4 linked regions of the Rhinolophus ferrumequinum genome follow. The protein of the gene in region 3 purifies or fractionates together with the protein of the main gene of each other region. This does not show direct contact. Links are inferred from orthologs where the notes say so. Each region holds a gene or a part of one and is shown on either strand. Other genes may lie near its edges. The genes, in order: PRR5L, FLNA, RICTOR and TUBB.

What was found.
Region 1: the proteins of RICTOR (region 3) and PRR5L purify together in Homo sapiens (affinity purification with western blotting; 3 studies listed by BioGRID and IntAct, with this or other methods). This does not show direct contact. The link is inferred for Rhinolophus ferrumequinum from reciprocal best matches to the Homo sapiens genes RICTOR and PRR5L.
Region 2: the proteins of RICTOR (region 3) and FLNA purify together in Homo sapiens (affinity purification with mass spectrometry; 3 studies listed by BioGRID and IntAct, with this or other methods). This does not show direct contact. The link is inferred for Rhinolophus ferrumequinum from reciprocal best matches to the Homo sapiens genes RICTOR and FLNA.
Region 4: the proteins of RICTOR (region 3) and TUBB purify together in Homo sapiens (affinity purification with mass spectrometry; 3 studies listed by BioGRID and IntAct, with this or other methods). This does not show direct contact. The link is inferred for Rhinolophus ferrumequinum from reciprocal best matches to the Homo sapiens genes RICTOR and TUBB.

The regions. Positions count from the first base shown.
Region 1 is NC_046294.1:22,048,094-22,056,454, reverse strand, and holds the start of PRR5L (proline-rich protein 5-like), read left to right. Parts: upstream 1-5,053; 5' UTR 5,054-5,202; intron 5,203-8,361. UniProt on the Homo sapiens protein: Associates with the mTORC2 complex that regulates cellular processes including survival and organization of the cytoskeleton.
Region 2 is NC_046284.1:6,248,869-6,256,265, reverse strand, and holds the start of FLNA (filamin-A), read right to left. Parts: upstream 3,207-7,397; 5' UTR 3,064-3,206; intron 1-3,063. UniProt on the Homo sapiens protein: Promotes orthogonal branching of actin filaments and links actin filaments to membrane glycoproteins. Anchors various transmembrane proteins to the actin cytoskeleton and serves as a scaffold for a wide range of cytoplasmic signaling proteins.
Region 3 is NC_046290.1:25,886,653-25,894,497, forward strand, and holds the start of RICTOR (rapamycin-insensitive companion of mTOR), read right to left. Parts: upstream 3,002-7,845; 5' UTR 2,960-3,001; coding exon 2,911-2,959; intron 2,742-2,910; coding exon 2,694-2,741; intron 1-2,693. UniProt on the Homo sapiens protein: Component of the mechanistic target of rapamycin complex 2 (mTORC2), which transduces signals from growth factors to pathways involved in proliferation, cytoskeletal organization, lipogenesis and anabolic output.
Region 4 is NC_046286.1:1,311,611-1,319,398, reverse strand, and holds the start of TUBB (tubulin beta chain), read right to left. Parts: upstream 3,379-7,788; 5' UTR 3,194-3,378; coding exon 3,137-3,193; intron 1,807-3,136; coding exon 1,698-1,806; intron 1,451-1,697; coding exon 1,340-1,450; intron 1,051-1,339; coding exon 1-1,050. UniProt on the Homo sapiens protein: Tubulin is the major constituent of microtubules, a cylinder consisting of laterally associated linear protofilaments composed of alpha- and beta-tubulin heterodimers.

The sequences.
Region 1 (8,361 bases), on a different chromosome or scaffold from region 3:
GTTTTTAAGGAACCACCTCTCCTCTGCACCCCAAGCCCACAGCCTCTGGCATTTCTCTTATCCACTTTTAGTATCTGCTTGGCTCTTTCATTTCCTAAACCCACTTCCTTAGCAGAATTTGTCTCAAAACATGTTATGATTTCAAGCTAAAGAAAGACTGTCTAATTGTGAAATTCCAGAAATTGGAAACTGCTAAGGACGTTTGTTCCTCTGCCGTCTATCTACTCCCTTCTCTCCTATTTTCTGTGAGGGTGTTGTTCCAGCCCAGGAAAATAAACCCAGGTTGTCTGAGGATGAACCCGTACCTGAACTAAAATATTTGAGAACCACATTGTCCTGGAGTCCTGTGTCCCCCTCTCTTGTGTAGCCTTTCCCTCGTCTCTTCTCCACGGAGTCACATGGCTTGATTCTTGTTTTCTGCCATAAACCACTATAAGCTTTGGGTTTAACTCCTTCCTGTATTCATAGGGGCCAGCCCAGTGCTTCCAGTGAATTGATTTTGAACAACATCCACAAAGTGCTCAGACTAAGATTAATTTCTGTGACTTTTTTTGTGGGGACAGTGCCTTATTATTTGCAGGACTGTGCTTTCTTGCCTTCCTTTAGAAAGATGAGCAGTGTCGTCACCAGCTTTCAAGATGGCCCCCAATGATCCCGGCCTCCAGGTATTCACATCCTTGCGTAGTCCTTTTGCACATTGTGCCAAGATTGGTCTGTGTGACCAAAAGCAGATGGCAGAAGGATGGTATGTCACTACCGGGATTAGTTATAAAAGATTGCAGCTCCTTGGTGCTCTCTAGTGTACCTGCTCTCTTTTTCTTGAATGTCTTGCTCTGGGGAAAGCAAGCTGCCATGTTGTGTGCAGTCCTCTGAAGAGGCCCATGTGGCAAAGAAATGAAGCCTCTGATCCATACTGAACAAGAAACTAAGGTCTTCTAGAAACCTCATTACTGACTTTAAGCAGATTCTCCAGCCCCGGTACAGCCTTGAGATGACTGTAACCTTCGCCAACATCTTGACTATAACCTCATGAGAGAGTCTGTGCCAGAACCACCCAGGTAAGCCACTCCTGGATGTGTGAACTTCAAAACTGTAGGATTATAAATATTTGTTGTTTTAAGCTACTAAGTTTTGAGGCAATTTGTTATGCAGCAATAATAACTAATACATGGAGGCAATAAAACAGAGGGACTTCAGAGTTCAACCTAACCGTATACATTATTGGCCATACCTTGAATAAATTCTTGAACTTCTCTGAGCCTGTTTGTACCTCTGTAAAATGATGTTGATCACACCTGTTTTGGAAAGTAGAGCTGAGTACTAGGTGCAACCCCAGTGGGAGGATACAGCTCTCTTTGCCCTCGGGGGCAGCTATATGAGAGGATCCCTTGGGGCTCCAGTCTGCCAGGCCGGGCCTCAAGCCTGCACCATGTCATCCCACTTTTGCAAGGCTTGCCAAGTTGCCACTACCATGTTGCTTTTAAAGGTTTTCCTATAGTCTAGGGAGCTTCCAGCAATTCCTAAACATAAACACTTTTATGGGAAGGAACAGAACAGAATGTTAGAGTTCATTTCTATAATTTGGTCCCCCTTCCCAGTTTTTCTTAGGCCTAATCTGATTTCTTTTCAATACTGGGTGTATGAATTTGTGCTTTCTTTCATTTATTTAATAAACTTGCTACTTGCCAGCCTCCATTCTAAGCCTCTTACACATTTATTGATTTATTTACCTCTCATAACAATCCCACGTGACACACAACACACACATACACACACACACACACACAACTATTATTTCCCCATTTTACATATGGAAAAACTGAGTCACAGGGAAGTTAAGTAACTTGCCCCAGGTCACACAGCTAAGTAGTGGCAGAGCCCATATTCAAACTTGAGCAGTCTGACTCCACAGTCTATGCTATTAACCACCAAGTTGTACATGTCTCCTTGTCTTCACATAGCTAAAGATTCATACTTCCTCTGTCTGGATGTCTGACTACCTTCCCCAGGGGTCAAGTGCAATCTAAGGGTGTTACTGGACAGTCAACCCAGTGGTATGGTGAGGATAAAATGATGGGTACAAGCGGTAACTTGGGCTTTGGAAAAACCCAGGTTCAATTCTCGGCTCCTGTGTACTTCTGGCAAGTTATTTCATGTCTCTGAACCTTAGTTTCCTCGTCTGTAAAATGGGAACAAAAATAATTAAAATATCTTTTGATCATTAGAAGGACCTCAAGGAAGACTTATACCCAAAAGAGGAAGGATTATTTATCTGGTGACTTCGTTCTAGCCACTGGCAGCACTAAAGGGCAGAGCTTTCCTGTGCTATGGGAAAAGATTTGCACTAGGGTGACCAATCACCTCCCACCTCAGTTTTCCTAGGAATAAGGGATTTCCTGGGATCCAGGACTTTCAGTGCTAATAGTGAGACAGCTCTGGGCAAACCACACAGTGAGTCACCCTCGTATGAGCCCTGAGCCTTTGAGGAAAAACATCCATGTAGAATGCTTGTCCTGTCTTCTCAAGTGGAGCTGATGTGAAGAGAGTAATATGGATGCAGAATTTTTAATAGAAGGTGATTAAGGGCAGCAATCTAAGTTTTGGGGGTTCTTTTTCGGTAATGGCTTTATTGAGATGTAATTCACATATACAATTTACCCAAAGTGTACAATTCAATGGATTTTACTATATTCACAGAATTGTGTAACCATCACCACAGTAATTTTAGAACATACTTACTAGCCCCGAAAGAATCACCATACCCTTTAGCTAGCATCTCCCCAACTCTCTTCATCACACCCCAGCTCTAGGCAACCACTAACCTACTTTCCTGTCTGTGTAGATTAGTCCATTTTGGACACTTCATATAAATGGAATAGTGTGGTATGTGGTCTTTTTATTGGTTTATCCCACTTAACCTAGTATTTTTAAGGTCTGTCCACATTGTAGCATGTATCAGTACTTCATTCCTCTTGATTGATAAATAATTTCCTTTATTTGGTTATACCACATTTTGTTTATCCATTCATCTGTTGATAGGCTGGATATCTGGCTATCATGAATAATGAATGCTACTATGAACACTTTTGAACGAGTTTTTGTGTAAATTTATGTTTTCATTTCTATTGGGGTATGTACCCAGGAGTTAAATTGTTGGGTCATATAGTAACTCTGTGTTTAACATTTTGAGGAACTGCCAGAATGTTTCCCAAAGTGGTCACACCATTTTACGTTCCCATCAGCATTGTATGCGGGTTCTAATGTCTCCATATCCTCACCAACACTTATCATTATGTCTTTTTGATTATAGCCATTGCAGCGGGTGTGAAGTGGTGTCTCATTCTGAGCAATCTTGGTTTGGAGTTGCGTTTGCATAGCAAGCACATTTTGTCACTTAGGTTCATTTAAAGAGACTGATGAAGAGTATGGGCACTGAAGTCCTGGTTACCTTCTTTATCAGAGGAATGTCTGCAGGAGGCGGATTCGGCCATGGGTCCTGTGGTCCTTCGGGGAGAGTCCCCCGCATTTCCCTGGTTTCCCTTTTCCTCACTCCCATTCGTGGACTGAGATGAGGCGCCATCCAGGGATGAGGGGCTGCTCTGTGCTTCTCGCCTTATGCTACCTTCTCTAAGCCAAGGTGTGACTTTGAAGTGACCTGATCCGCTCATGGTAGACTGCAGGCAAATTGGGGCCATACACTGGCTTGGAAATGTCATCTGTGTCCAGATCAGGCAACATAAGCTGCATGATTGGGGCTAACTCTGTACCAATAATGTTTGAGTTAACACAGTGTTTAAAAATTGGGACATAAAAATCCAAATTTCTGGTTGTCTTTTTTTTTTTTTTTTTACAAATTAACTGGCCTAGCCATGCTGTTCCTGTCTTTCCACATTGCAGCAGGTGGCTAGAACTGAGTCCTGGCTGACCCCTGAAGACTGGCTTGGGCTCTCAGATTCCTCATGTCCTCACAACTCTCTGTTGTGCCGCAGTTGACCCTCTCCATACATTTGTCATCTGCCTTCTCCCTGTGAGTATTTGTTAGTGCCACTTCCCTCAGGGACCTAAGGGGGTAAACTTACGCCAAAGTGGGCAGCAAGGCTGAATTTGGGGATTTCGGGTTCTGGGTTTCCAGCCCTCTCCACACCATCTCCTCATGAGTCTAAGCAAATTGTCGGGGGTAATGTGGACATCTCATTGGTCACTCATGCTTCTTGAGTGATTTTTATGGGCCAAGTACTGTTCTAAGAGTTTTACATGTTTTAACTCATTTACACTCACAGTAACCCAAATAATCCCCATTTACAGGTGGGAAAATGAATGGTCACAGAAAAAACTTGCTCACAGTCCATGGGTAATTAGTGGCAGAGCCAGGATTCGAAGGCAGGAGCAAATGAGGTCATTGTGTGAGTTTGTTCATACATAATATAGTGTCTGGTCCGTGATGTGGTTTCAATGGATGCTACTACGTAACAGTTCGTCTGGCCTGACCAACGGCTGCTAATATGCTGCATGGCTGGGCGTTGGTCCCAGCCAGGTGCCCCCTCATTAAAGCCAAGAGTTGGAGTAGATGATATACGTGTTTGGAGAAATGATATCTGTGATTCTCTTCAGCTCTAACTCTCAATGAGTCTCTGAAAGCTGGTTGGAGAAGGGGAGAGGGAGAGGACAGGCCTGAGGAGGCGTCCCCCGCTCCCATTGCAGAACACCATGGGCTGGGCGTCCAAAGTTCCTCTCCCAGCTCTGACCGGCCTGGTGGCTATGACTCCCGCACTCCAGAGCGCTTCAGACCCAGGAGGGCATGGTGGCCTCATTTCTCATCCTCCCGTCCCCAGGAGTGGCTGATAACACACAGCATTGTTCTCACACACACAGGGCCCCATTGTTCCCCTTCATACACAGAGAGGAGGCTGTAACAATGGCCTTGAATGGCACCTTCCTCTGCTTTCTCCAATGTTACACTTGTTTTGTCAGTTCTGGAATCGGCGAAACAATTATTTCCTGCGTGGGGTGGGGGAAGGGATATCAGCTTGTCATCTTTTCCGCCAGTCCTTAGGAAAAGGATCAGTGGGAACTGAGTGGAGAGCCAGACCCAAAGAGAGCTGGGGCTGTTGAAGTGTCACCTTGTCAGGAGGCTGGAAGGTCGAGGGGCTTCACCTCTCCCCTGCGAGGTGGGACCTGCCCTGGAAGAAGGAAACAAATCAGGTAACACAGGAGAGAGGCTGAGAGCTGTTGGCAGGGAGGGGGGTGGAGGCAATGGCTGAGGGTCCCGCCCCAGGAGAATGGGTTTCTGGGTTTAAGATATTCTGTGTGCTTGAGAGCCACTGCCTTCTGCTAAACAAATAAACAAACAAAAGCAACTGAGGTCACTCTGCCTGTCTGACCCCTATTCAATGCCTCTGATGTCCTTTGGTGACCAGAAACCTCAGGCCCCATGTGCGTGTATTGAGATGCTTGTTTCATTAATAAGAGCTGCTATCATTAAGCTCTTCCTATATGTACTGTATCTGTATACATATTACTTATGTATCTTACTATATCGATAGCAAGTATAGGAAACACTTATACAATGTGCTTCCCATTCTTGCTTGATTCAAACCCAGGCAGCCTGGTTTAAGAATCTGTGCTCTTCATCACCATGCTCCTTGTGTAAGGTTCTTCACAAGAAACCAAGTTCATCACAAGGCTTCACTTTGAGAGGCTGCGATATATAGTGATAATTATGAGTACTGAGTCCTCTGCCAGGCAATAGTCTAAGTGTTTCCACCTATTTTCTCATTTATCTCACACAGTAACCATATTGGATGGGTACTTTTATTATCTCCATTTTGTAGATGAGGAATTTGAAGTACAGAGAAGTTAAGAAACTTGCTCAGGGTCACACAACTGTCAAGTGAGCGCCAGGATTTGAGCTCAGGGCTCTCAGGCTTTATGTGAATTTAAAGTCCTCCCAGCCCCGTGGCTGGTTTCGGTTCGTCTCCTTGTCTGGCTCACTAGAGATGGAGGGTGGTGTTTTGTCTCTGGCTTCGGAGAACATCTGTACCATGGGTTGCAGCTTGAGGAATGCAGCTGCTCTTAAATGGTTTGTCTGTTGTCGTTAGCTTTTGTCTTGCTCAAAGAAGATGGAATTGCTCGATGGTGACCCGGAAGGAGTTTGGAATGATAATAATTGCTCAAGGAATGCCATCGTTTGTTTGGACAGAGACTGCGCTAAGTTGCCACATATGTAGGAGGACATATGTTAAATAAACAGGACTTATAAGGTTCAACTTTATTTTTACCTATCACTGCCCCTACAGTTTTTCAATGGAACCACACTCTTTCACTGCCCAAGTATGAAAATTAAGGCTGGTCCCTGACTCTTCCGGCTGTGTTTCTCATTCCAACACTGTCTCAGTTCAGCAACTGTGATTTCCAGGTCTGTGGAATAACCCAGACCTTCAAACTTTGTTTCAAGTGGAGACTCCTCCTCCTCCTCCATAGCGCCTGGAGCTGGGAAAGGCAGTCTGTGGTGAGTCTCGCACTTCCCACTTTATGCTTCCATCTGGCTCACTGAGGATTCTGACCCTTGGCTGAGAGAGGAGCGGAGGAGAGAGAGCAGAGAAAGAAAGGGAGCGGGAAGTTCTTACTTGGTAAATATTGTCGTAAGCTGGCATCTCACTGGCTATGCCTGGTGGGTATTTAAACCTGATTCTTTATCTCTTGGCACAATTGTGAGGATTCTTCAGTGAATACCTTCCTTCCTCATCTTTGGGGATTTCTGAACTGCCAGTCCCTTGAAGGTGGTTGCTTAAGACTCTTCCCTCAGGCCCCCTGCATCTGAACGGTGCTATATTAGTTTGCTAGAGCTGCCATAACAAATATCACCAACTAGGTGCCTTAAATAACACACATGTATTTTCTCACAGTTCTGGAAGCTAAAAGTTCAAGCTCAGGACGCAGGCAGGGTTGGTTTCTTCCCAAGCCCTGCCTTGGCTTACAGGTGGCGCCTTCTTCCTGTGTTCGCATATGGTCTTTCGCTCTGCGTGGGCACGGCTGGTGTGTTTTTGTGGGTCCAAATCTCCTCTTCTTCTAAGGACACTGAACTAGAGCCCATCTTCATGGCCTCGTTTGAACATATCACCTCTTTAAAACCTTATCTCCAATCACAGACACATCCTGAGGTGCTGGATGTTAAGGCTTCAACATACAAAGTTGGCGGGGGGCGGCGGGGGCCACACATCAGCCATCGCTGTGCAGTCAGAGTCTTTCTGTGGAAGAATTCCCACTCCAAAGGATCCACACGATCCACAAGTTTGCCTGTTGCACACCTCTGGCTTGTGGAAAATCTTCCACTACCCTGGCAAATCCAGTGGCACCACTCCCTCTCACTCCAGCTGGCCACCCCGTGTTGTGGGTTTCTCAGGCATGATTCAGACATCAGCCCTCGGTGATGGCCAAGCTCCCGGGATACAGAACCTTTGAGCTCACTCTTGGGGAGCAAGGAGCGGGAAGTTGGAACTTGCAGAACGTCTAGTGGTCACTCCAAAACTCCTCCTCTCCTCTCCCACCATCTTCCTCGTCCAACCTTCCCTGTGGGTTGGAGGTGGTCCAATAAAGGGGAAAACATTTTCTTTCTTAACTTCTCACGATGGTGTCACACTCCCTTTGGAATGTGGCATCTAATGTCTTGTGGCTTCAGCACAACCTGAGACTAAAAACGTTTTTCCGTCCTGCTGTGCATACAGCATCTCATTTAGTTTTCATGGAGAATCCTGTGAGAAAGATAATACCCACGTACAGCCGAAGGAGAAGACTCTGGAGCTCAGAAAGCTTAAGGAAGTCACTCAAGATAGATTGTTCAACCAGCAGAGGGAATGGCAGTCAAGATTCTGACTTTCATTCACTTCACCGTCACTCTTCTAGGCCTTCACCACCAGGGTTCTGAGAGCTTTTGCCTGCCGGATTTTATTCTGTGCTGGTAAAAATTTCCTTCTGAGCAGAATGTTAAAAAGGGAAAGAGGTTACATTCCGACCTGTGCTGCAGTTGTAACGCAGGGGCTGGTGCCAGGGTGAGTCAGGAACCTTCTCAGGTACAGTGTGAGAGGAGCTCCGTGCACCAATGGGAGCTCTGCCTGAAACCCCAGCCCCTCCCCTTGTATAACTTAGTGGAATAATGACCTAGGAGCATCTTTTTTTGTAGAAGTGCATAAAAGCCTTACTGTATTCGGAAAACCCTATTCGAGGCAAAAGGGACCATATCGTCTCACCTTCTATTTCCAACGAGGTGCTTTTCCTAAAGATGACTTCAAAATATAAAGGTAATTATTTCTGAGAAAACTTTGTTTAGATTTTTGATTATTGTCTTTGCATAGAAAAAGTCCA
Region 2 (7,397 bases), on a different chromosome or scaffold from region 3:
CGGGGTTGTGGGTGGGGTTTCAGGGCGGGGGGGGGGAGCGCCCCGCCCCACCCGTTGGAATGCCCCCCAAAGCCCCCCTGCCCACTCGGTTTTGACCCGACTCCCGGGCTCTGGGGACAGTCATTGGGCACTGAAGGGGTCTAGGACAAAACCAAGCCCCGCAGCCTCACGCCAGCGCTGCAGAAAATGCTGCAGCAAGGAAAGGATGAGCAGCATCTGGCGCTGGACCACTTGGTCTTCCAGTGAGCACGCCATACAAGGGACTTTCCTTCCCCAAGGCCCCTGCGTGGGGTGGCGTGGCTCACCCTCCCTGAGTCACGGGGGCTCCGCCCAGAACCCACAGGCCCCCGCCACTCCCGCTCCCCCTGGGCTCCAGCGCCTGGGGTTCCCCGGCCACACCCCAGCCGGCCGCCCCAGCAGCAGCGGGAAGGGGCCAGATCCTAAGGGCGAGCCCTTGGACAGTGCTGCTGCGAGGTCTTTGAGCGCGTGCGCCACACTAGGGAAGTGGCCCCGCAGAGCCCGGACCCTAGGCCAACCTTCAGGCCGATCCCCAGACCTCCTGCCCCAGGACGGCCTTTCTGCTCTGCTTGGCCCTGGCCTGTGCACCTGCATCCTCCCGTTCGCACCGCTTCCCCTCCTCCCTCCTCCACCCAGGAGGAAATGGGGCACTGGGCCAGGAGGCCGCCAGCACTCCAGGAGCAAGCAGCCTTGGCAGGGGCCGGCCCGTGCCAATGGGCACTGGCAGAGAGTGCCGTGTGATGCATGCAGAGACAGCGAGTGTCCGCCTGGGGTTGCCGTCCACCTGGGGCACTGGGGGTTTCCTCTCCAGTCTGAATGGCCCCTGAGCACAGCGTGACCCCAGGAGATGGCCAGGCGTGGTCCCTTCCAGACCCAGAGTGGCCTGCTCGGGGGTTCCAGTAAGACTTGGCAGGCTCTGAGCCCCTGGGTCTGGGTGGGCTGCAGTGCCTTAGCAGTGCAGAGTCCCTCCCCACCAGGACCGACCGGAGGGCCAGAGGACCGAGGGGGGCAAACCACAGAAGGCTGCCAAGGCCTGCTGAAAAACCTGGACTGTGTCCAGAGGGCAACAGGGAACTATTTGCTCAAAATTAATTTTCTGGTAGATAACTCTGGAGACAGTGGGGAGGCTGCTGTAGGGAACTGGAGACCAGCAAGAGGCCTGTTGGGGACACACTGACACCCTCCAACCAAGAGAAGCCAGCCTAACCATGGCTTCATCCCCAGAGTGGAATCACTCCTCCCAGTTCTGTGTACCCCCCCTCTCCAGGATGCTCCTTTCTTTAAGTCTCTGTCCCTCCTGCTTGATTCTTAGATTGAGCTGCAGACTAGTAGCAATTAAGTTATCATCTGCTAAAGACCAGTGGGACAGAAAGCCCTGGTTCAGCCAGCATGTCATGTCCAAATATGGCTGGTTGACTCGTGCATGACTCAGGGTCAGCATTACCCACGGTGGTCCCAGCTGGCATCTCCCCTGCCCTCCAGCACACTCGCTTCAGGCTGCCTGTCACCCCACTGGTTTTTCCTCACCAATGGTGGTGGTAGGGACTCCAAATAACACTTTCCAATCTGAGGCCCACCTGTGCACTCTCCCCTCTCCTGACCACTTTCAACCATACCTGCACAAAACCCCATACCACAGTGTCTAGGAACTGGGGTGGAGGTGGGAAGGAGAGCTGTGAAGGGGGAACCCGGATGGACCCCTCTCTGCCAGGCCCCATTCAAGACGGGCTGAGTGGTCCTTCTGCTCCCCCTGCCCGACTGGAAAGCATGTGTCCCAGGACAGCATTACATCAAGAATTGATTTTCTTTTTATAATACTAAGTGCCATCCCACTGGGTCATCGGTGTTCATTCCTTAATCTTCAGAGAGCAGGGAAACTGAGTCAGTAACTGACCAGTAGTCAACTCCAGCAGAAAGGGAGACAGAGCTGGGTGTCCTGGCTTCCAGCCCTCGGCTTCCCCTATTTGGGGGAGACAAGTGATAGGGGTGTAGAGGGCTCTTGTCCCTAGGGGACATAGTATTACCACCAGATGGCGCCCCATCCCAGAGCCCCCAGATCAGGCAGTCAATCCTTGGGAGCCTAAATCCAGCTCTTTCATATTTTCCCTTATTTGGAGTAGATTCTTGGATGTTAAACATACCCCGCCCCCCACCCCACAGCTGGCCCTCAGACCCCAGGCCAGACCCTCCCACAGGGGCACGTCAGCTGGTGAAGCAAGCCTCAAAATGGCACGGTGAGAAGAGACCTGGGCCGCCAAGGCAAGTCCAGGTGTGGCAGGTGAGGACACTCATTTCCTGAGCTCCCACCTTGACCTTGCAGCCTGGAGCACATGCACGTGGGCCTGCCAACAGACTTTGCCTACTTTTCCTGGAGCCGGGTAGCATGAGAATCTGGGCACATTGCAGCTCACATCCTGGCTGGTGGTGAACATCCAGCTCAGAGCCAACCTGGGACAGGGCCCAGGGCTCAGCCCAGGAATCTAGCCCGTCCAAGGAGACGCTGCTTCCTGTGCCTGGCCACAGCCCTGTCCTGGCCCCCATGGAGTAGAGCAGCCCCAGAACCAGCTCCCCTGTGCCCAAGGCAGCTGATGCCAAGGACTGGTGCCAGCGAAGAACCCAACACTGGCTGCAAAGTGTCCTTCCAGGTAGCCACTCACCCTCAGCCCACACTATGTCCTGCTCCAAAGACAGTCCTTCCCAGTCAGTCAGTGGCCAGCTCACGAGCATCCATGCGAGCCCATATCCTGCCAAAAGCTCAGACACCCTCTCTCAGGAATCCCCATGGCCTAGGGCTCCCACACTCCTGGGTACAGACACAGCTTCACAGGTACACTAGGGAAGGGAACCCCTGGACACAGCACTTCCAGGCGCAGGGGGCTCCTCCACTGCGCTCACGCACCCCAGCTGCACCTGGCTTGGGCCTGCGTGCCCGCCGGCGCCTACATTCTCGGGACTTCTCCGCTCGCCTTCGCCACCCCCGCCCCGGGTCCGCGAGTAGCGCGGTGACCGTCTCGCGCGGACCCGGGCCGCGGAGGCCTGCCTCACCTGCTGTCCCTGTGGGCGGCCCACAACCGCAGGGTGGCGCCCCGCTCGCCTTTGCGCCCGCGCCCGGCGCCTCTGGGCTCCGCTGGCGTCCGCTGCGCGCCGCGCGCCTCCACGCGAATGGGCCGCCGCTGCCCGCCTTCTTGTTGGCCGCACCCCCGCCCCGCGCCCGCCCCGCGCCCGCCCCGCGCCCTGCTGGGCGAAAAAGCCTTAATTGGTAAAATCGCCCAGTGGCCGGGGGGCGGGGGCGCGCCGTGAGCTCAGCGCCCCGGCTGCTTGGTGACGCTCCCCACCCCCCACCCCCCACCCCCGATGAGCTCACCACCCGGTGAAGGCTGCCGGGGTGATGGGGGGAGGTTGCCTCAAGTGCCCGTGGGGTCTGCAGGGCTCACGTCTCAACCCAGCTGGAAAGGCCACCTCCTCCAGGGAGCCACCCACAGTCACTGCCCCTACCTTTGCCCCAAGCCTGGGCTGGCCAGTCAAATCAGATTCTGCCCTCTGGGGTGGTGGGGACAACAGATCTTTGCAGGTGTGTTTCACTGAGCACTTACCACCCACAAGGCCCCAGTGGGGCAGGGACCTGAGTCCACGGTGATGAACAAGCAGCCTGGCTGCCACTGATTTGGCCCCTGCCTGGTGCCAGTCCAGGGAGGGGGCAGCAGAACAGTGGTGAATTCCTAGGCGCACAATCAGATGCAGTCCCAAAGCCTGAGAGTGTACAGTGAGGTGCAGCCAAAGAGCCAAGTGTTTGTGAGCCGGGTGGCACAGACATGCCCTGGCACTGCCAGGCTCCCTCTTCCTCTTCTGCCCATTTCCTGGTAGTTTCAGATTCAGCTCAAATGTCACTTCCGAAGAAGGCCACATAAAACATGTGCATGCGCACACACAAACACAAATAATTAAAACAAACATTTCACAAAACAAGACTCTCCCTTAGTACCTGCAAAGCTCTTTGATATTTTCCATTCTACTCCATTAAAAGAGAGGGCGAGGGAAGAAGGAAGGAAGGAAAGAAATAAAAATGGAAGGAAGAAGCTTGGTCACACCTGCTAAAAGAATTTGGCGATCTACAGTTTACCAGTAACAGGAAGGCGCTGATCACCCTCCAAGCTTCCCTACAGCCACTCCTGCCTTTGCTAGTGGTAGCTCTGCTTTGACCTTTCCACCTTGACCCATGGTGGGATCTCCTAGCAGTGTCCGGATTTCCAACTCTCACTGCTCCCTCTGGTGGGACCCGCCCACCACCACAGCTGAAGAGGATGGTGGGTTACCATCACTTGATAGAGGAGCGACCTGAGTTCAGGTCCATAAGGTGGCTGTGCTGGAGCTCATGGCCAAGGCTATCCTTCAAGGAGGGAAACCCACCTACCACAGGCATTGCCATGTGTACAAGAGCTGGGGGACACGAAGGAGGCGGGCCACGTGCCTGGATCTCAGGACGCCCCACCTCCATGTGAATCCTCTCTTCCCACTACTGCCTCTCTCGCCCTCCACACACACCCCTGAAATACACACAGCTCTTGGTCTCTCCTTCTTCCAGGTATAGGGGGAACGAAGGTTTGTACAGCACCAACTGTTCCCTGGTAATAACCGTCATAAATGAAAGACTTTTTCTCCTTGTGTTGAAGGTTTTGGAAAACCACTAGAATCAGCTCTATTGCTGCTGCCAAGGCAGGCTCACTCTCCAACTGGCTGTGCCAACGGCTCCCACATGAACCGATGCTTCTAGGGTTGGAACATGAGGCATTCTTTGAGAGACTTTAGGTCAGCTAACTATTCAGTGTTTTATGTTGATTGTGACAATCATCCACACATACATTTTCACAATAATCATCATCTTATGACTTTTGTTACTACCTGAGCAATGTTTCAAAGCATTCACATACCAGGTAAAATCCAAAGGATCTCTAACATCCTTGAAGAGAAGTTTAGTACTAAAGTATAAGAAGATTCTGATCTTACAGAAAACATTAATAACTCAGTGAACAATCATCTCCTTGGACATGGATGCTGAGAAATATATTCAGGTTGATATTCTTTTTCCTTATAACTTTCAATCTGGCTGGGATTGCAAGTTATACAATATAGTGCTTAGAAGCCATCCCCTCTGTCCTTAAAGGAGAAACTATCTTACTCTTGATTTGGAGTCGGCGGCTTCCTAGCCCTTTCCACCCTGGCTGCAGTACCACAGAAACTCAGCTTCTTTAACTCTGCCCACCCTTCCCAGGAAGACTCCCCTGGAGGCCTCAGATTTTCCCCAAAGCCCCGCTGAGGACTTGGAACCCCTGCTGTGCCAGACTGTCCAGATTATTGACCTGAGGATCCGGTACTGGCTGAGGGAACAGTCCATGAATGAATTGCAGTACTCAGGGCCCTTGGACAAGTATCCTCCCTCTCTGGCCCCCCAATTCCTCCTCTTCCTGATGGGGGTGCTGCAGAGGGACTCTCAGCTCTGATGGTCAAGGGTTCGTCCTGGTTCCTGGTGGTCTGGGATGGGTCTGTGCTGCAGCGGGGCTGGTCGTGGGTGCCAGGTAGCCATGGGGTGAACGCAGGGGACCATCACAGTTCAGCCTCCTGGTGCCATCGATGGTGGGACCTCATATTGGGACAACTGGCGTGGGACATAAAAAGCAGAGTGCCGAGGCAGGTGCCAGGGAGGGGGTGTTCCTTGGGGAGAAGGCAAACCTAGAATTCCTTGACCTCATAAGGAAACAGCTTAGATGTGTACAGGGAGGGGTGGCATGGGGGAGGACTGAGCCGCTGGGACATGGGCCAGCATTGCAGAAGAAGGCTTGGAGAGGTGCTGGGGAATCCGATCTTGCCAAAACTCAAAATTCCATGAGGCAGCCTCGAGTGGCCCAGACCCCAACGCCATTTCCCTCCCTGCTCTGAAGCCATGCATGCACGTGTCTGTGACCTACATACTTCCTCCTCATATTTTAGGGGACAGAGCAGACCTCACCTTTCCTCTAACAACCCAGACAACAGCAACTCTTCTGAGAGTCTTTGTGTGTTCCCAAACCACAGCCCCACCTCCTCACCACTCCCTGGATGGCTGCCTCTTCTCTACCCCATAATCAAACCTCCATGGAGAACTGGTCTGTGACCCTCACCAGCTGGCTCAGCCAGCCTGGGTCTGAACCAGAGCCCTCCTTACTTCTGCTTTCCCTGTCACCAGCTATCATCTATAAGACCAGGGACAGCACCTCATCTCCCCATTCTCCCAGTTCTGGGCCTGCCCAGGGAGGGGCATCTCAGCTGGCCACACACTCCATTGGCTGTCTTTGTTTACAACATGTCACCTCCTTTCCAATCTCCACTGGACAGCTCTTTACTGACCAAGGCCCTTACCAACTCCTAGTGACCGTCCAGGCTCTTCAGCAGGCCTTCGCAGCCTTCTGTGGTTTGCCCCCCTCGGTCCTCTGGCCCTCCGGTCGGTCCTGGTGGGGAGGGACTCTGCACTGCCAAGGCACTGCAGCCCACCCAGACCCAGGGGCTCAGAGCCTGCCAAGTCTTACTGGAACCCCCGAGCAGGCCACTCTGGGTCTGGAAGGGACCACGCCTGGCCATCTCCTGGGGTCACGCTGTGCTCAGGGGCCATTCAGACTGGAGAGGAAACCCCCAGTGCCCCAGGTGGACGGCAACCCCAGGCGGACACTCGCTGTCTCTGCATGCATCACACGGCACTCTCTGCCAGTGCCCATTGGCACGGGCCGGCCCCTGCCAAGGCTGCTTGCTCCTGGAGTGCTGGCGGCCTCCTGGCCCAGTGCCCCATTTCCTCCTGGGTGGAGCAGGTAGCGGGGGAAGCTGTGGGGACCGAGGGTGCAGGTGCACAGGCCAGGGCCAAGCAGAGCAGAAAGGCCGTCCTGAGGCAGGAGGTCTGAGGGTCGGCCTGAGGGTCGTCCTAGGTTCCGGGCTCTGCGGGGCCACTTCCCTAGTGTGGCGCACGCGCTCAAAGAGCTGGCAGCAGCGCCTGGCCAGGGACCCGCGCTGTCCAAGGGCTCGCCCTTAGGATCGGGCCCCTTCCCGCTGCTGCCGGGGCGGCCGGGGAACACCAAACGTTGGAGCCCTGGAGGTTGGGGGATGGGGGCTGTGGTGGCTTGAAGGGACCGGGCGGAGCCCACGTAACTTAAGGAGGGCGAGCCACTCCAAGCACCGCGGCCCCGCCCCGCTCCCACGTTCTGGCCGGTTCCTGCCAGTTCCACTCGCACGGCCGTGTCCCTCCTCGCTTCACGCCCGAACTCGCCAGCCGGTGACGTTTGGACTCTGCGGCCCCGCCCCGCTCCCCTGTCAACGCGAGTCTATGCTGTTTGCCCTCGCGTGCAGGCCCCGCCCCT
Region 3 (7,845 bases):
GTAGGAAGGCAAGTAGCATTTTATTAACATCACTCACAGAATGTCAGGTCCTATGCTGAGTACTTCCATTAAGCACTAGCTCACTTACTTTTCACATTCTTAATAATCTTTTGAAGTTCGTTCTTGTTCTCTCCCTCTCTATCCCCACCTACCCACCTCGTTTTTTTGAGATGAAGAAACCAAGAGTTAAGCAAGGTCAAATAACTTGCCCCAAATCACCTAACTATTAAGTATCACAGCTGAATTACAACCCAGAACTATTTGACTTTACAATTTGTTCTTTTCCTAAAGGAATTACGATGACCATGACCTCCATTTTATAATGAACTTTGCTAAATAACCTACACAATGAATTTCTCAAATGTTGCATTAAAAGAAATTAGGATGAGAGCAAACATTGCCTTACCATTAAAAAATATATATTATTTTTGGTTACCTAAACTTTATCTAAAACATACTGTAATCCAATCCACAAACAGCTGCCCTTCAGCTGCAACCCAGACTGCCCCCCAGTTCTCAAATTATTACTAAAGTTTAATTCCTCATGAACTTTTCTTCATGTTAGATCCACAAGCCTTCTTTTAACAATGAAATGTTTGTCAGAATAGCAATTTCTTAAACAATAGCATCACTATATAATGAATCTAACTCATATTACTTTTATTTCTAAACTTCCTTAGCATTTAGGAATACAGTTCTCATATAACCTCTCACTCTTAGTTGTATATTGTTTTTGCAATCAGTTTCAATTGGTTGTGTGTATTTCATTCCAAACTGAAGTATATTTTGTCAGAGAAAGTAGAAATACCATTTTTCTGTACTTTCTGTATTGCCTAGAAATGCCTATGGACATATAGATAGGTGTTTACTAAATGCTCAGGGAATATTGCATTTTATATAGTAAACATACAGAGTTATCTGTGTACTTGAGGAAAATTGGAGTAAACCAAAGGCATCACATCAAATTTGTACTGTACATAGCTCTTTCACAATCCAAAATTTTGACATCAACAAACTGTAACTTATTTCTAGCACCACATCCAAGCAGGTCTTTAATGCAGAAATTAGACTCAAGATCTATCTATTAAATGCTCTTTCACTTTCATCTAAAACATGTATTCTCATATATAAATTAAATCACTAATAAACTACATTTGTTACAGAACTCAAATGCTAATTTTGGGCCTTGTGGGAATTCTGTTAGGAAATTTACTAGAAAATCTTTTCCCATATATTAATATATTTCATGTACATTTCATGTTCATAATGTATGTTATATATAGTCAAGTTTCCAAAATATTACACAAAAGTCAAAAGCTTTACATCTTTCTACACTAATATTCAAACGCTATCTGCTGAAAAAAATGTTCCAATTTATACCATTAATGATCTAATTCGTTGCCATTTCTATACTTAAGCCTTATTGTATTTTAGAAATTCTTCCGCCAGTAAAAGAACATACTTCGCCCGAAACTAAGGCCCTGAACTTTCAAAATAAACAACTGCTACAAAAATGTACTCTGGTAGCTAAAGGAAAACTAGCCTTTTAGTTTATTAAATGGTAATTTTACATTATGATATACAAATTAGAGAACGCGCACTATGGTTTAAATACAGAGATGAGCCTCAACAATGAGCCTGCATCTAACACTGTAGATAGATAATGGTCAATATGACAAATACAACATAGGTTAAAAAATTTTTTTAATTTTATATAGAATATTTACAACCATTTTTTTTAAAACTGCCTAATGTGTTTTTCGAGTCTCAAAAAGGAAATTGATTCTGTACGGCTGAACCAGGTTGTATTCTAAGCTAAGGCTGGTGTGAAATATGACTTCTTCGGAATCAGTAGACCAAATCCTGTTTACCGTGGAAGAGAAAAGAAAAACCCTGTACACAACTACTAAATCTTCAGAGAGATATTGTCGAATAAACTCCAGTACGATGACTGAGAAGATATACTGGCCAGTAGCCGAATTAGATATTTAAAAATATAAGCGGGATTTACCCATTTTCGAAGGTGTAAACAAACCCAGCGCCACTGCAGAAGGTAAACAATGAACCTGCAGCGAGGGTGAGGGGGCGGTCTTTGCCAACTACAATCCCAGCCGCCCGGGAAAGGGAAACAGGAGGGAAACACAGCGTAGATCAGACACTTAGCAGTATTCACCCGCTCTAGGTTTCACTACTGAGTTATCAATGTTACGGGTCCCCCAGGGAGGTGGGCAAAGAGACAACATTTCACGCAGTCAGCCAGAACCGAGCAGGTCCGGCTTCTGCTCTGGGGGACGGGGAAGGCAGGATGTGGTCGCTCTTCCCCGACATCCTCCGGCAACCTAAATAACAGCCTCTACCTCCCTCCGGCCGCCCCCAGGATTTGGCTGCACAAGCTCCGGGATAAGAGTAAAGCGTTTCCTTGGGGGTCCAGGGAATCCAGAGGGTCGCCGGCCGCGCCGAGTCCCGCTCGGTGTTCCCCGGCACCCACAGCACCCAGAGGCCCGGAGAAGAGCTCCGGGCGAGGGAAGCAGGCACTGGGAAGGGGGATGGGTCCTGGGAGGCGGCCCCCGGCTAGGGCTCTGGCTCCCGCACCCCCACCGGTCCCGTGCGCAGCCCGCCCCTGTCCCCGGCCCCCAGACCCCGCTCCTTCCCAGCAGCGCGCCCTCCCCGGGGCCAGCGGCGCCCCGCGTTACCTCGGGTCAGATCCAGCGGGACGTTCTCCTCGCCGCTGTCATTCCGCCCTGCGTGAAATAGACACACAGACCCAATTAGGATTCGAGGGCAGGCCAGCGGCGGCAGACCTGGCTCCGGCCAGAGCCCCGCTTGCTCCCTCCGCCCAGAGCCAGGGGGAGGCAAGTGCCAGGGGTGGCGGGCGCCAAGCAGTGGGGATGAGGGCTGCAGCGAGCTTACCTCGTATTCGGAGATTCTTCAGCGAGCGGCCGCGGCCGATCGCCGCCATATTGACGGGTTTCAGTCACAACACCGGAAACCTCGCCCAATCGCGCGAGAACCCCTTCCCCTCCCCGCGCGCCTCACCCGCCCCCAGCAGCATCTCCCCCGCCCTTCCGCAGCGGCGGGCGGCGGGCGGCGGCGGCGACTCCGCACCCGGGGCGCAGCGAGCTCCGTGCCGACTCAGGGTCTCGGTGGAGCTTGCGATTGCGCGTCCTCTCATTCGGGAACGAGAGGGCGCGCGGCGGCGCGCCTGACCTTCTTGGGAGCACGTCTGCTGGGAGGGGACATTTCCCACGAGGGGAATCCCATTGATACGAGTTTATAGCTGGAGGATGCTTCCCCTCCTGCCGCGGCGGGAACCGTAGTCAAAACCGGAGCGAGCTGGGAGGAGGCCGGGATGTGGCCGGCTGACCACCTGCTAAAACCATCCTGCATGATTCTCATGCTTGCTTTCAAGCTCTGAGATAGACAGCCCCACGCCCCTTCCTAATACAGGAGTTAAAGCGATTTTTATTAAAAACGAAAACAAAACGCTGCGCAGTTTTAACATAACTCAGTTCCCTTCCTAGAGTCCTTTTGCTCCCACCAAGTTAAGACGCACGTAACAAAGTTTGTTTTCCACCCTCGCTCTCTGACCACCGAACTAAGCAGCCTTGCATTTGATCTTCAAAGCCACACTCGGCCAGGGTGCTACTAGTAAAAGTGGAAGTGGTCTGGTGGGGGGTTTTGTCTTGCTGGAGTGCAGGGTGGTCGTCCCGGGCAGCGGATGGGATTGGTGCCGCGCCCGCACGGACGCCAGGAGGCTCGGGGAAAGGGTTTCCTCTCTGCCTGGAACGGAGGACAGGCTGAGGAGGGCTGTGTCCGGGTTTTCTGTCTGTATATCTCCTACAAAAGTGGCTAATATAAATGTGGACAATTGCTAACTCTGGAGAGTTGAATTCTAGAAACTGCATTAGCTGATTAATGTATATACACCTGGCCCCTGACCCAGCAGCTTTTTCTTAAACTAGATTAACTTTAAAGAGAGGGTGGGCGTTTTGTTGCCTCTTATTTCTCAACTCTTGTCTTTCTATTCCGTGAGACTGGAAGTTAATTGACACTGGAGAGCTTGCCGTAACCACTTTTCTTTTCCCAGCTTCCTGTTAATGCAGTGTTCAGACAAATAAATGTTCAATATACGTATAATCAGTTAGTTGAGTAAATGCTCGGATTCCTTCTTTATTCCAAAGCTCTTGATGCTTTAAAAAAAAATTGGAGATACTAAAATTGGAAACACTTGACCCAAAGATTATGCAAATTATTGCAGCCATTAAAAATGACAATACAGGTCTAGTATATTTATAGGAGATAATGTTCTGGATATTAAATCAAGCGAGAGATCACAAATTTCCCATTTCATAAATGTTTAAAATAATATAAAATTAAAAGTATACAGTACTTTATAAAATATGTTACATATCTGTTATGTTACACAATAGAGAAAAGTCTCATCAAAATGTTAACTGATTATTTTTTCCCTCAGTGGTGGAATTACATATATAGTTTTTGTTCTTGTTTACTTGTCTGTAATTTTAAAATGTACTCTGTTTGTATATTCCAGCTGCTTTTCTTACTGGGTCTGCAATCAGATGTCTCATGCTGATAATGCACTTAGATTCAAGGATACAACAGAATTAGAGTAATTTTTAAAAATATCTCCTGATATCACCAATACTAATTTCAGTGACAAATTTGCAACCTCTTTTCTAGCTTTTAAGCCTTGGTGCAAATGATTATAGTGACAGCCTAAGGCAGACATCACAAAACTTGAGGTCTGGCTAGGACATGAAAATTTTTGTATTTCATCTCTCCTTGCATCACATTTCACCATTTTAGAAAAGAAGAAATCTATCAATGGAAAGTCTACCAGATTCTTAAAATTGTTCCAATTCCAACCAACACTTTTTATACTATTTTTCTTATCCCTGTCTATTCTAAATTAACTCCTTACTAATAAAATTTCACTTTCTTCTCTCATTTAGTCTTTCATGAAAGTTGAGAACAATTGACCCACCTTTAAATTACTAAAGGTACATGAGAGCCTGAATCCAATAGCCTTTCTTCTTTATAACTGTGTGTTCATATTTAAAGATCATTATTCAATTAATCCATCTCTTCCAGAAGTAAGAAATCAACTTTCTCCCATCTTACAATGAAACTAGTTTTTCCTCTGTTACGTCTCAGTCATTTGAGTGGCTGTGTTCTCCACATTTGCTCTTAAGGTGAATGGCATTTCTGGTAAAAAGAACAAGTTCTTAGTGTTTGCAAATAACACTCAACTAGGAAGCAGAAGTTTAGGTAAATTTTAGTAAGGAATACATTTCACAATGTTGTGTTTGCTTTTCAAACAACAGCACTACATTATTGATCCTAGTCAGCTTATTTGTTAAAATCTCTAACTTATTTTCCATACTAGCCAATTGCTAGCCACTCCTCTTTTTGAAACTTGTTTTTCTTCCTTATTTTAGCCTACCCCAAGTCTTACTCATTGTGTTTACTTGTTACTACTTCTCCAATTTTCCGGGTCATTTTGATTCTAATCTGGTCACTGAGAATGTGACTTCCTCTTCTTACTTTTCATTTCCTAACTAGGTTACATTTGCTGTGTGAATGAATGTTTTTTTTTCTTCTCATAGTATTAGTCATTGATAAAAAAGGTTATATGAGATTGGGTCCAGGACCACACCTCTAAGAGATAACTGCTGGATCCTGAAGCTGAAGATATAATGTCTCCATTGATAGTCACACTCTGGGTTCTTTTTTCTATCCTATTATACACAGTTAATAATTCTAGTTTATAAACAAAATTTTATCAGTTTCAGATGCAGTGGTAACATTAAACAAAGTCTTGCAAAAATTTTATTTCTCTTTATCTATCTGCCTTCTTCCATAGGCCATGTGAAGATAAAGCAAGTCAAAAACCACAATATTTGGTCAGTCTCTTTTCTGGTAATTTCTCTTTATAGTAAAATCAGACATTTAACATCTAGATAAAGGCCATTAAAATGACAGGCAATGGGCTAAATTCAACAAATGTTATAATCCTACACAGGGCTGATTATAAAGATTCCGCTTTGGTCACAGCAGGACGTAGCCTTTTAGTATTTGTTGTTCCTGTAAATTTTAATCTCTCTTACAAAAGTCTCCTTTAAATTTCATTTTTAAAAAATCTGTAAGGTATAAAGGCCCTCTATGAACACAATTTTAAATGAAGAATAAGCCTATGTTTGTAAAAAAGAAGGTACATATATTCATAAAAATCGAGAAGGGTATGCATTAAAATTTCAATAGTGATTATCTCTGGTTGGTAGAATTTTGAGTGATTTTTAACTTTTTTTCTCATTTTAATTGTTCTAAAACAAAATTTCACTTGTGTATTTTTTAAGGAAACTATTTTAGAGAAATTCTGTTGGTGATCCTAAACAACCATTATATATATTTGATTATAATAATGTGTTAAGTAATGGACCTATGAAAATTGTGCATCTCTTCATTAAAAAAAAAAATTGTCCACATACTCCAATACATGTATATTTACTTTTTTTATTAAATAAAACATAAACATGAAATAAAAATAGTTAAAAGTAATTTTTAATGTTATGTTGCTATGGCACAAATAAAAGCAATGGGCTGAATATATTTCATTATTTTTTAAAGTTCTTGTTAAAAATTTTGAGATACAGCAACTCAAAAGTCTAATTCTAAGAAAGGTTTATTTACATGTTGGGATTTAGTAGCTGAAACCTCACAAAATACAAATTAAAAACGGTAGAACTACTCTAATGGCTGCAGTTCTAAATCATAACACTCATTTTTCAATTCCATTCCTTAGTTATAAAAAGGTTTTTTATGTAATTTGGCTAATAAATATCTCTCTTAATGTCAACCTGTTTTCAAAGCCAACTGGAAGGCATATTTAAACATTTTTAGCAAATGGTTTTAAAACGCTTCGTCTAAAGATTTTAAGCAGTTAAAAAACACTGTTTTCAAGATTTTTAAGTTTGTAAATATTACAAAGGTGACACGTTTATATTTTTAATTGTCTTCACACACACAAAAATCACAAAACTGTGGAAATGTTTTCAAATACCTAAATGCTCTCTTTGTAGCACAAGTTTCTTTTGATGAGTAATAACTTAGTTATTGTTTTCACATTTACTTTGAAGGGAAAGATTAGATTTAATATTTTTAAAAAATCTGATAGATAACATGCCACTGTAAACCACCAGTCATGAAAAAAAAAGTTTGGTACTCAATAAGTATCAAACATCTGTATGGTACAAAAGATTTTCATAGTCACTCTCCTTCTCTTTCCAAAGTATGTGAAAATTAAACTGTATTTTAAAGGTCTTTATTATATGAAACTATCACATGTGGCACTATCTCTGTTCTTCTGTGAATCCCTAATATTTAAATTTCATTTATAGCAACCGCTTGTTGATTTTTCATAAAACATTGCTTTTATTAAGGAAGCTGTTCACTGATAACAATACACATTCTTTGATGCATCCTTACTTTGGTGGCACAGAAAAAAAGTAGTTATTTGTGTATTTCATTACTGAACAGAATTTAGCTAATACCATAAGCTCAGACAACTATAGAAACATCTATGCTTCCATCTAACTGTTCAGCAAAGCTTCTTTAATGCCTATTTGTTCAAATACTTTTTACTTCAAATCTGCTTTTTCTCCCCTTCTTTTCCTGTTTCCATCTTGGTTTAAAAATGTGACTGCATTTTAATTTTGCCAACAAATTATTTTCTTTGATGGTTCTTTTCAGCCACTTTTTAAAATAATAGCAATAAATGCCACCATATTCCCCACAGATATTTACCTTTTTGTCTGTTACTAAAAA
Region 4 (7,788 bases), on a different chromosome or scaffold from region 3:
CCTCTTCGGCCTCCTCACCGAAATCCTCCTCCTCTTCTGCGGTGGCATCCTGGTACTGCTGGTACTCGGACACCAGGTCGTTCATGTTGCTCTCGGCCTCGGTGAACTCCATCTCGTCCATGCCCTCGCCTGTGTACCAGTGCAGGAAGGCCTTGCGCCGGAACATGGCCGTGAACTGCTCTGAGATGCGCTTGAACAGCTCCTGGATGGCCGTGCTGTTGCCAATGAAGGTGACCGCCATCTTCAGGCCGCGGGGTGGGATGTCGCACACGGCTGTCTTCACGTTGTTGGGGATCCACTCCACGAAGTAGCTGCTGTTCTTGTTCTGCACGTTGAGCATCTGCTCGTCCACCTCCTTCATGGACATGCGGCCCCGGAACACGGCAGCCACAGTCAGGTAGCGGCCGTGGCGGGGGTCACAGGCGGCCATCATGTTCTTGGCATCGAATACCTGCTGGGTGAGTTCGGGCACAGTGAGGGCCCGATACTGCTGGCTTCCACGGCTGGTTAGAGGGGCAAAGCCAGGCATGAAGAAGTGGAGGCGTGGGAAGGGCACCATGTTGACTGCAAGCTTGCGGAGGTCAGCATTGAGCTGGCCAGGGAAGCGGAGGCAGGTGGTGACCCCGCTCATGGTGGCTGAGACGAGGTGGTTCAGGTCCCCATAGGTTGGTGTGGTCAGCTTGAGGGTGCGGAAGCAGATGTCATAAAGGGCCTCGTTGTCAATGCAGTAGGTCTCATCAGTGTTCTCTACCAGCTGGTGGACGGAGAGGGTGGCGTTGTAGGGCTCCACCACCGTGTCGGACACCTTGGGCGACGGCACCACGCTGAAGGTGTTCATGATGCGGTCGGGATACTCTTCCCGGATCTTGCTGATGAGCAGTGTGCCCATCCCGGACCCCGTGCCGCCCCCCAGCGAGTGGGTCAGCTGGAAGCCCTGCAGGCAGTCACAGCTCTCAGCCTCCTTCCGCACCACGTCCAGGACCGAGTCAACCAGCTCGGCCCCCTCTGTATAGTGGCCCTTGGCCCAGTTGTTGCCTGCCCCAGATTGACCTGGAATCAGGAGGCAAGCTTGATTAGTAAAATGTGGCACATACACAACCACGTTTCCACCTTTCAGTTTTTGGAACAATGCCTGTGGATCGATCTACTTTCCTCCCTCACCAGTGATATATCACCCCCATAATTTACCATCTAAGGCAGCCACACCCCCACCCTCCATTACATCCCAGAACACAGCCCTATAAAAACTCTCAAGCACAACAATCATTTCCTAACTCTTGCTGTCCCCTTGCACACAAATAAATTGAATATGGTATCTACAAATATCTGTGTAACTCACCAAAAACAAAGTTGTCTGGTCTGAAGATCTGGCCAAAAGGACCTGAGCGAACAGAGTCCATGGTCCCGGGTTCTAGATCCACCAAGATCGCACGAGGAACATACTTTCCACCTACGTGTAAGAATGTATAGCCGGGAAAATTAGTACCTAGAAGGTAAATAAACTGGGGCTGGGTGACAGCTAGGGACCTAAACTTGTGATTCCAGGCGCTGCCACCAGGTGGCAGCAGAGCTAGCCTTTGGCAATGGGTGGTGGGAATCAGAGAGAGGAAGATCTCCAAAGGGAGAGGATGGATTCGTCCAAAGGGTGGAGACCCCAGAAGTGGGAAAGGAGATGAGACCGGAGCTCCTTCCCTCACCTGTGGCTTCATTGTAATACACGGAGATGCGATCCAGCTGCAGGTCACTGTCGCCGTGGTAAGTGCCAGTGGGGTCGATGCCATGTTCATCACTGATCACCTCCCAGAACTGTGGAGAAAGAACAATGAACCGTCAACGTCTCAGGTCCCAGCCGATTATGACCCTGCCTCCACCTAACTGCCAGCCACGCCATTCCCCTAGGCACCCCCACACCTGGGAAAGCTGCAGCTTTCACTGCTTGGAATGTGAAATGATGTCCAGCTGGAAAGGCCTGGAGATCGCAGACACCCGGCTAGGCCGAGGCAGCCAACCTGATTAGGTAAGTGTACCCCTCGCCCCCCACGCTGGGCACCGCCCCTCCACGCCGCGCACAAAGAGCCGGGGTAACCAGGGGCCGCAGTCGCCCACCGCCAGCCGCCCACAAGACTGTAGCAAAAGCGCGCGCCCAGCCATCGACAAAGGGAGGGGTCGCGCGTGGGCGGAGCCGAAGCGCGAATTCAGCGCGCGAGGGGCGGGACCTGGCTCGGGCTAGCGCGCCACCTGGTGGCCGGCAGGGCCACAGTCCCCGCCCTGCAGGGCCCTGCCCTTCTGCTACAACGTAGCAGCCGCACTTCCTCCCGGCTACACTGTACCCGCGCGCAAAAAAAAAAAAAAAAAAAAAAAAAATCCCCTCTTGGTCTCGGAATTTTATCCCTTCACTAGCTTTCCCCTCTTGCTTAAAATGAGGATCCTCTTCTTTCCATTTAGTCCCGAGAGACCCTTTAGAGAAAAAAAACCCTTCTCCCGCCCTCTTTCTTATCTGTCCAAGCCCGAAAGGGTCTCTTTAAAGCGAAATAAAGGAAGCAAAATGAATCCAGCACATATTAGCCTTCCACCCACGAAAAACTATGGGCCTGCCCCACGGGGATCGTGGGCGCGTGGAGATCTCTATCTACTCTTTTGTAGAGGTAACGCGCAGTGCAGCCCACCCTACAGCACCACGTCCCCCACCTTTATGGAGCCGGGCACTGCAGCTCTCCACCCCCAACCTCCCCTCTTCGCCCTCGGGCTTGGCCCTACGAAGACCCGCCAAGGGGGTTGGATGCACATGGGGGAACCTCGCCTTGCTTTGTCTCGGCGAGTTTCCGCATCTCCCTCCCTCCCTGGCCCTCGGACCGTTAGATCTCCTTTAAGTAAAACCTTACAGAACCTCGGTCTTCCCGCCCCCCAATCCTCAAGGGTGCTTTTGATAGCTTCCCAAAATGAGTGTCAAGAAAAATAATTCTCCATTTTTCAAATGCAAATTATAGCTACAAATATGTGTTATACATATAAAACTTCTTTGGGGCAAATATTGACTAAGGATGGAGACTGCAAACAGCCCACAACCATTCTCCATAATTTGTACTTTTTTCTTCTCAAAAAGAAGTAAGAGTTAAAAAAGGTTTAAAATCTTTACCTTAGCACCGATCTGGTTGCCACACTGGCCGGCCTGGATGTGCACGATTTCCCTCATGGTTCAAATTTAATTTTTTTTTTTTTTTGCTCGCCTCAAGGTGTGTACGGGGCAAGAAAATATGTAATTTTTTTTCTCTGTTGCTGGTCGCAGGCTGGAAGGATGGGACGCGCCCCGGAGGTTGGAGCAGCTAGGTCCGAACGCGACGGCAGGAAGGTTCTGAGAGGGAGAAAGAAGAGGGCAGGGCGCTGGAGGGAAGGCGGGCAGGGCGGGGCGCGCGTGCGCCGGGCTGGGAGGCGGGAGAAGGCTCCCGCGCAGCACTTGCGAGACAAAGCCTCCGCGAGGCAGGCCCTGATTAGTCGATGCCGTTTAGGTAGTCTATGTCCATTGGTCTCTGCTCTGGGCGAGCGCAGTCTTCTCTGGGAGTTGTAGTCCTCTATTGTTGTCCACGCTGCAAAATGAAGGGACAAATGGGTGGACACTGGCTTTAGGTTTTTGGCGTTTTTTTGAAAAATGACCTTGCCCAAGATGACTTTCCTCTATGCCTGAGTTGTTTTTTGTTTTGTTTTTTTAATGCAAAAAGCGAGTCGTTTGGGATCTACAGGAATTAGGAACCCTAGGGTGCCAGGCATTGGACGGTGGAGTGGGCACACCCTGAAAGCTCCCCGCTGTGGTCGCTCTTGGGAAGACAGGACTGCTTAGCTCAGCGAAAAATGGTGAGAAACGGGCACCCTGCTCTGCTATCTAACTACTGGCCCTTTGGTGACCGAAAGCATGAGCTTCACTAAGCCGCTGCTTCCCCAGCTATCCCAGGAAGAAGGAGGGGATTGCCTTCCTGCTATTTCCTTGGGAGTTTTCTAATGATAATGTTTAGAATGTTTTCTAATGATAATTGCAACAGGGGCTTTGCAGGATAGAGATGTAATTGGAGGGTATGTTCAAAGAATAAATGGAATGGTTTAGAGAAGCTGATATCTTGGGATCTGTGAAGCGGGAAGTCTCCGTCCATGTAAGAGATCTGGTTCTTGGAGCAGCGTTGAAGACTGTGGTCTTGTCAAAAAGAATTATGGGGTGAAACACCTGATAGAATTTCAGAGTCTTTCCAGCCTGCCCTTAGACACTTTGATGAAGTGAGTGGTTTCTCAATTTGTTGATTTCATTGACTGACCATTGCAACCTTTCAAGAGCCTCAGAATTGAAATTTTAAAATGGCGGGGGGGGGGGGGGATTCATGGAAGAAAAATTGGATAGGCTCAAATCAGAGTGACATGCTTCTCAGGGATTAACTCACTTGATAGATACTAAGTGTCCACCAAACCAGAAGCTAGGGATACAAAAAATGATTATGAATTAGTTCCTGGCTTCCAAGATCTTGCAATCTGGTGAGAAGTGTATACACAATAAAGTGTGGTAAGTACTGTAACAGACGACATGTGATATCAAGGTCATCATTAATTCACATTAAATTCAACACATCTCTCAGTCATCTTTTAAAGAACATCAAGTTGTGTATGACCCCTCTATCCACTTATAACAGAATGTTTTATGTTTTAGGGCATGATCACAATGAAAGTAGTTATTTTGTGGTAGTGGAGAGAGTTCAGAATTTAAAATCGGAATTTAAAATTGTTTTAATTTGTCTCTACCTTACCTTAGCTGTAGGAACTTAGCTAGGTCATTTAACTTCGCAGAACTTCACTTCCCTCTGTAAAATCTACTTCTGCCTATTTGATTGTTGTGGTCAGAATGGAGTAACGAAAGCAAAAGGACTTTCTAGATTACATACACGTCAAAATTGTTACCATCCTCTTGTCTTAGTATGAGATAATTAAATAAATGATTTTATCATCCTTTCTTCAGTTCTTGGAAGAACTCGATCAGCCTTTAAGATGGTTAGCAAAACGGTTCACTTTTGGCCTAGGGATCTTTGTTTTAGGAAAATGACCTCAAAAGTCTATCAGGGCTGTATTCTCAGGGAGGAAATGACATGACTTTACTAAACGGGCCAAATCAAAAGGAAATGAACTTCTATCGCAGTGAGAAGTCCTCAGGCGCCACGCCTGAAGGCTGTTCTCCAAATTGCAGCCTCAGGCCACGACTGCAACCCGCAACCCATTTTCATTTATGAGTCAGCAGCCACCATGTCTGGGAAGACCTAGGAAGGGCGTTCTGGCCGCACTAGATGCGCCGGGCGACGACTATGGAAAGCCCCTCTAGGCGCTACCGGCAGGGAGACTCTCTGGTCGTGGCTTGGATGTCTGCGCGGGAAGGGGGCGGTGGGCGGTGAAGCGGTAGTGGGCGGTCCCTTGGAGCTGCCCAATCGAGGTGCGCTATTCTGAGCGCGCACGCGACCTCCGCCTCTCAACCGATCTCAGTCTCCCGGGGAAAGCCAGCCCTTTGAGCCGGAAGTGGGCGGGCAGGAGGCGGGGCTTTGACTTGCCTCCGCATTGGGGGCTTCGTCAATCGGCTTGCAGCAGGGCTGTGAAAGACAGCAGCCGGAACCAATCACCGAATAGGCTCCGACTACAGCGCTCGCGCCCCTCGGTTCGCGACCGTTATTGGTGGCGCGCGCGGGGACTCAAAGTAGGTGAGTTGTTGGGGGCCTCTCCCGCCGCTCCCCGGGTGCCATCTTGGTTCTCCCGGAGGGCGGGAGGGGCGTGCCTTGGGTACGACTGGGCGGAGGAGACTAGGAAATTTTCTTTTCGGATTATAATACTCATCCTTAATTGACTCCCCGCCCTGAGTTTAGGTATGAAGTCACTGGGAGACCGCTGGGCCTGGAGGGAACCCACCCCGGTGGGGATCAAAGGGGTTGGCCTATTGGATTGGAGCCGAGGGTCGTAGGTATCCGCTGAGTCTCCACTGGAGGCGTCCTACTTTCCCTGTCAACGGTTTCGCCCTAGGGTGGCATCTCTAAGTGAATTCCACTCTTGCTATTTTGAGTTTTCATCTGCTTTCATTGGTTCTTTCATCAGTAGACTCTATGGTGTAACATCCTGGAGGGCAGGGTTAGTTTTATGTTTGGTTCATGAATGTATATCCCTAATACTTGTAACGGTTCCGGGTGCAGAATAACTGCTGTTGAGAGAATATGATGGACCCTAGGGAAAAAAACAGTTTTGATGGTCCAGTTCTCCGAGAGGGGTTGGGGGGGGCGGGTGAAAGCAGAAATAGAAAGTAATGGTTATGTAATAATATAGTAAGAAGTGTCAGGATATGTGCAAGTCCATTGACCACCGTGGAACATGTGAATACATCAGGAACACCAGTAAGCAGAGAAGACTCCAGGAAAGGCTTTACTGAGGAAGGGAGGTTTGAACTGAATCGGAAAGGATGGGTAGGAGTTGGACCAGAAAGCTACGAGCAACCGGCCAAGGAATTGGTTTAAGGCACGCAGATATGGGGGACAATAGGGACAGTGTGTTCAAAGATTGGGGAGAAGGTCCATGTGGCTGAACTTGTCGGTTTTGGTGGGCAGGGAATACATTGCAGGACATGAGGTTCAGATTGTGGAGGCTCTTGCTAAGGAGTTTAGATTTTGTTTTATACAATGGGCCTGGAAAGGTGTCAAAGAATATTAAACAGAGGAGAGACATAATCTGGGTGATCTTGGGCAAGTTTCTTAATCCAACTGTGTTGCAGTTTTTTTATCTGAGATATAGAAGATAAATAATACTTTACGGGGTTCTTGTGATTATTAAATGAGTCAGTTGATCTGATCACATTGAGATAGTCCGATAAAATGTAAAAAGCATGGGCTTTGCAGCCAGAGCACATTTATTCCTGCCTTTCCACTTACCTGATATGTCATCCTGAGCAAATACTTAATATTTTTAGCCTTAGTTTCCTAAATTCCTGCCTTGTATGGCTACTATACTTGACCATAACATAATGTTTGGCAAAATTTAGCTCCCTTTAACATGGTGTTTTTCAAACTGTGAGTGGCAACCCAGTAGTGGATATTAAATCAATTTAGTGAGTTGCAAATCGACATTTAAAAATAGAATAGAAAAAAAATAGAATAACATGAAAACTAGCTGTGTATTGCATATAATAAGGCTAACCATTGTTTCTGAAAACATTTGTCTATATAAATAAGTTTGTGTGTTTGCATATACAGAGATTCTCCAAGTTACAATTGTTTGGCTTAGGATTTTGGGACTTTACAATATGGCAAAAGTGATACACATAATAAATTACATGAGATACTCAACACTTTGTTATAAAATAGGCTTTGCATTAGATGATTTTGCTCAAGTGTAGTCTGATGTATGTTCTGAGTACATAAAAGGTAAGCTAGGCTTAGCTATGATGTTCAGTAGGTTAGGTGTATTAAATGCATTTTTTACATAGGATATTTTCAACTTACTATGGGTTTATTGGGATGTAACTACATTGTAAGTCGAGGAGCATCTAGTTGTGAACTTGGAACCTGATAAAATTTATTTCTTATTCTGTGTCATGATCAAAATATTTTTTCAGTGCTTCAGATGGTTAACAACAGAATGCTTGGCATAAAGCGAAGCTTCAACTTCCATAGCTATCCAGGTTTGCCCCCAGTTGTGAGTTTCCTCTCCGAGACTGTGTGTGTGAACCTATGTTAGAGATTATGATGCTGCTAATGTGTTTCCTTCCCAGATCATGGAGGACACTCA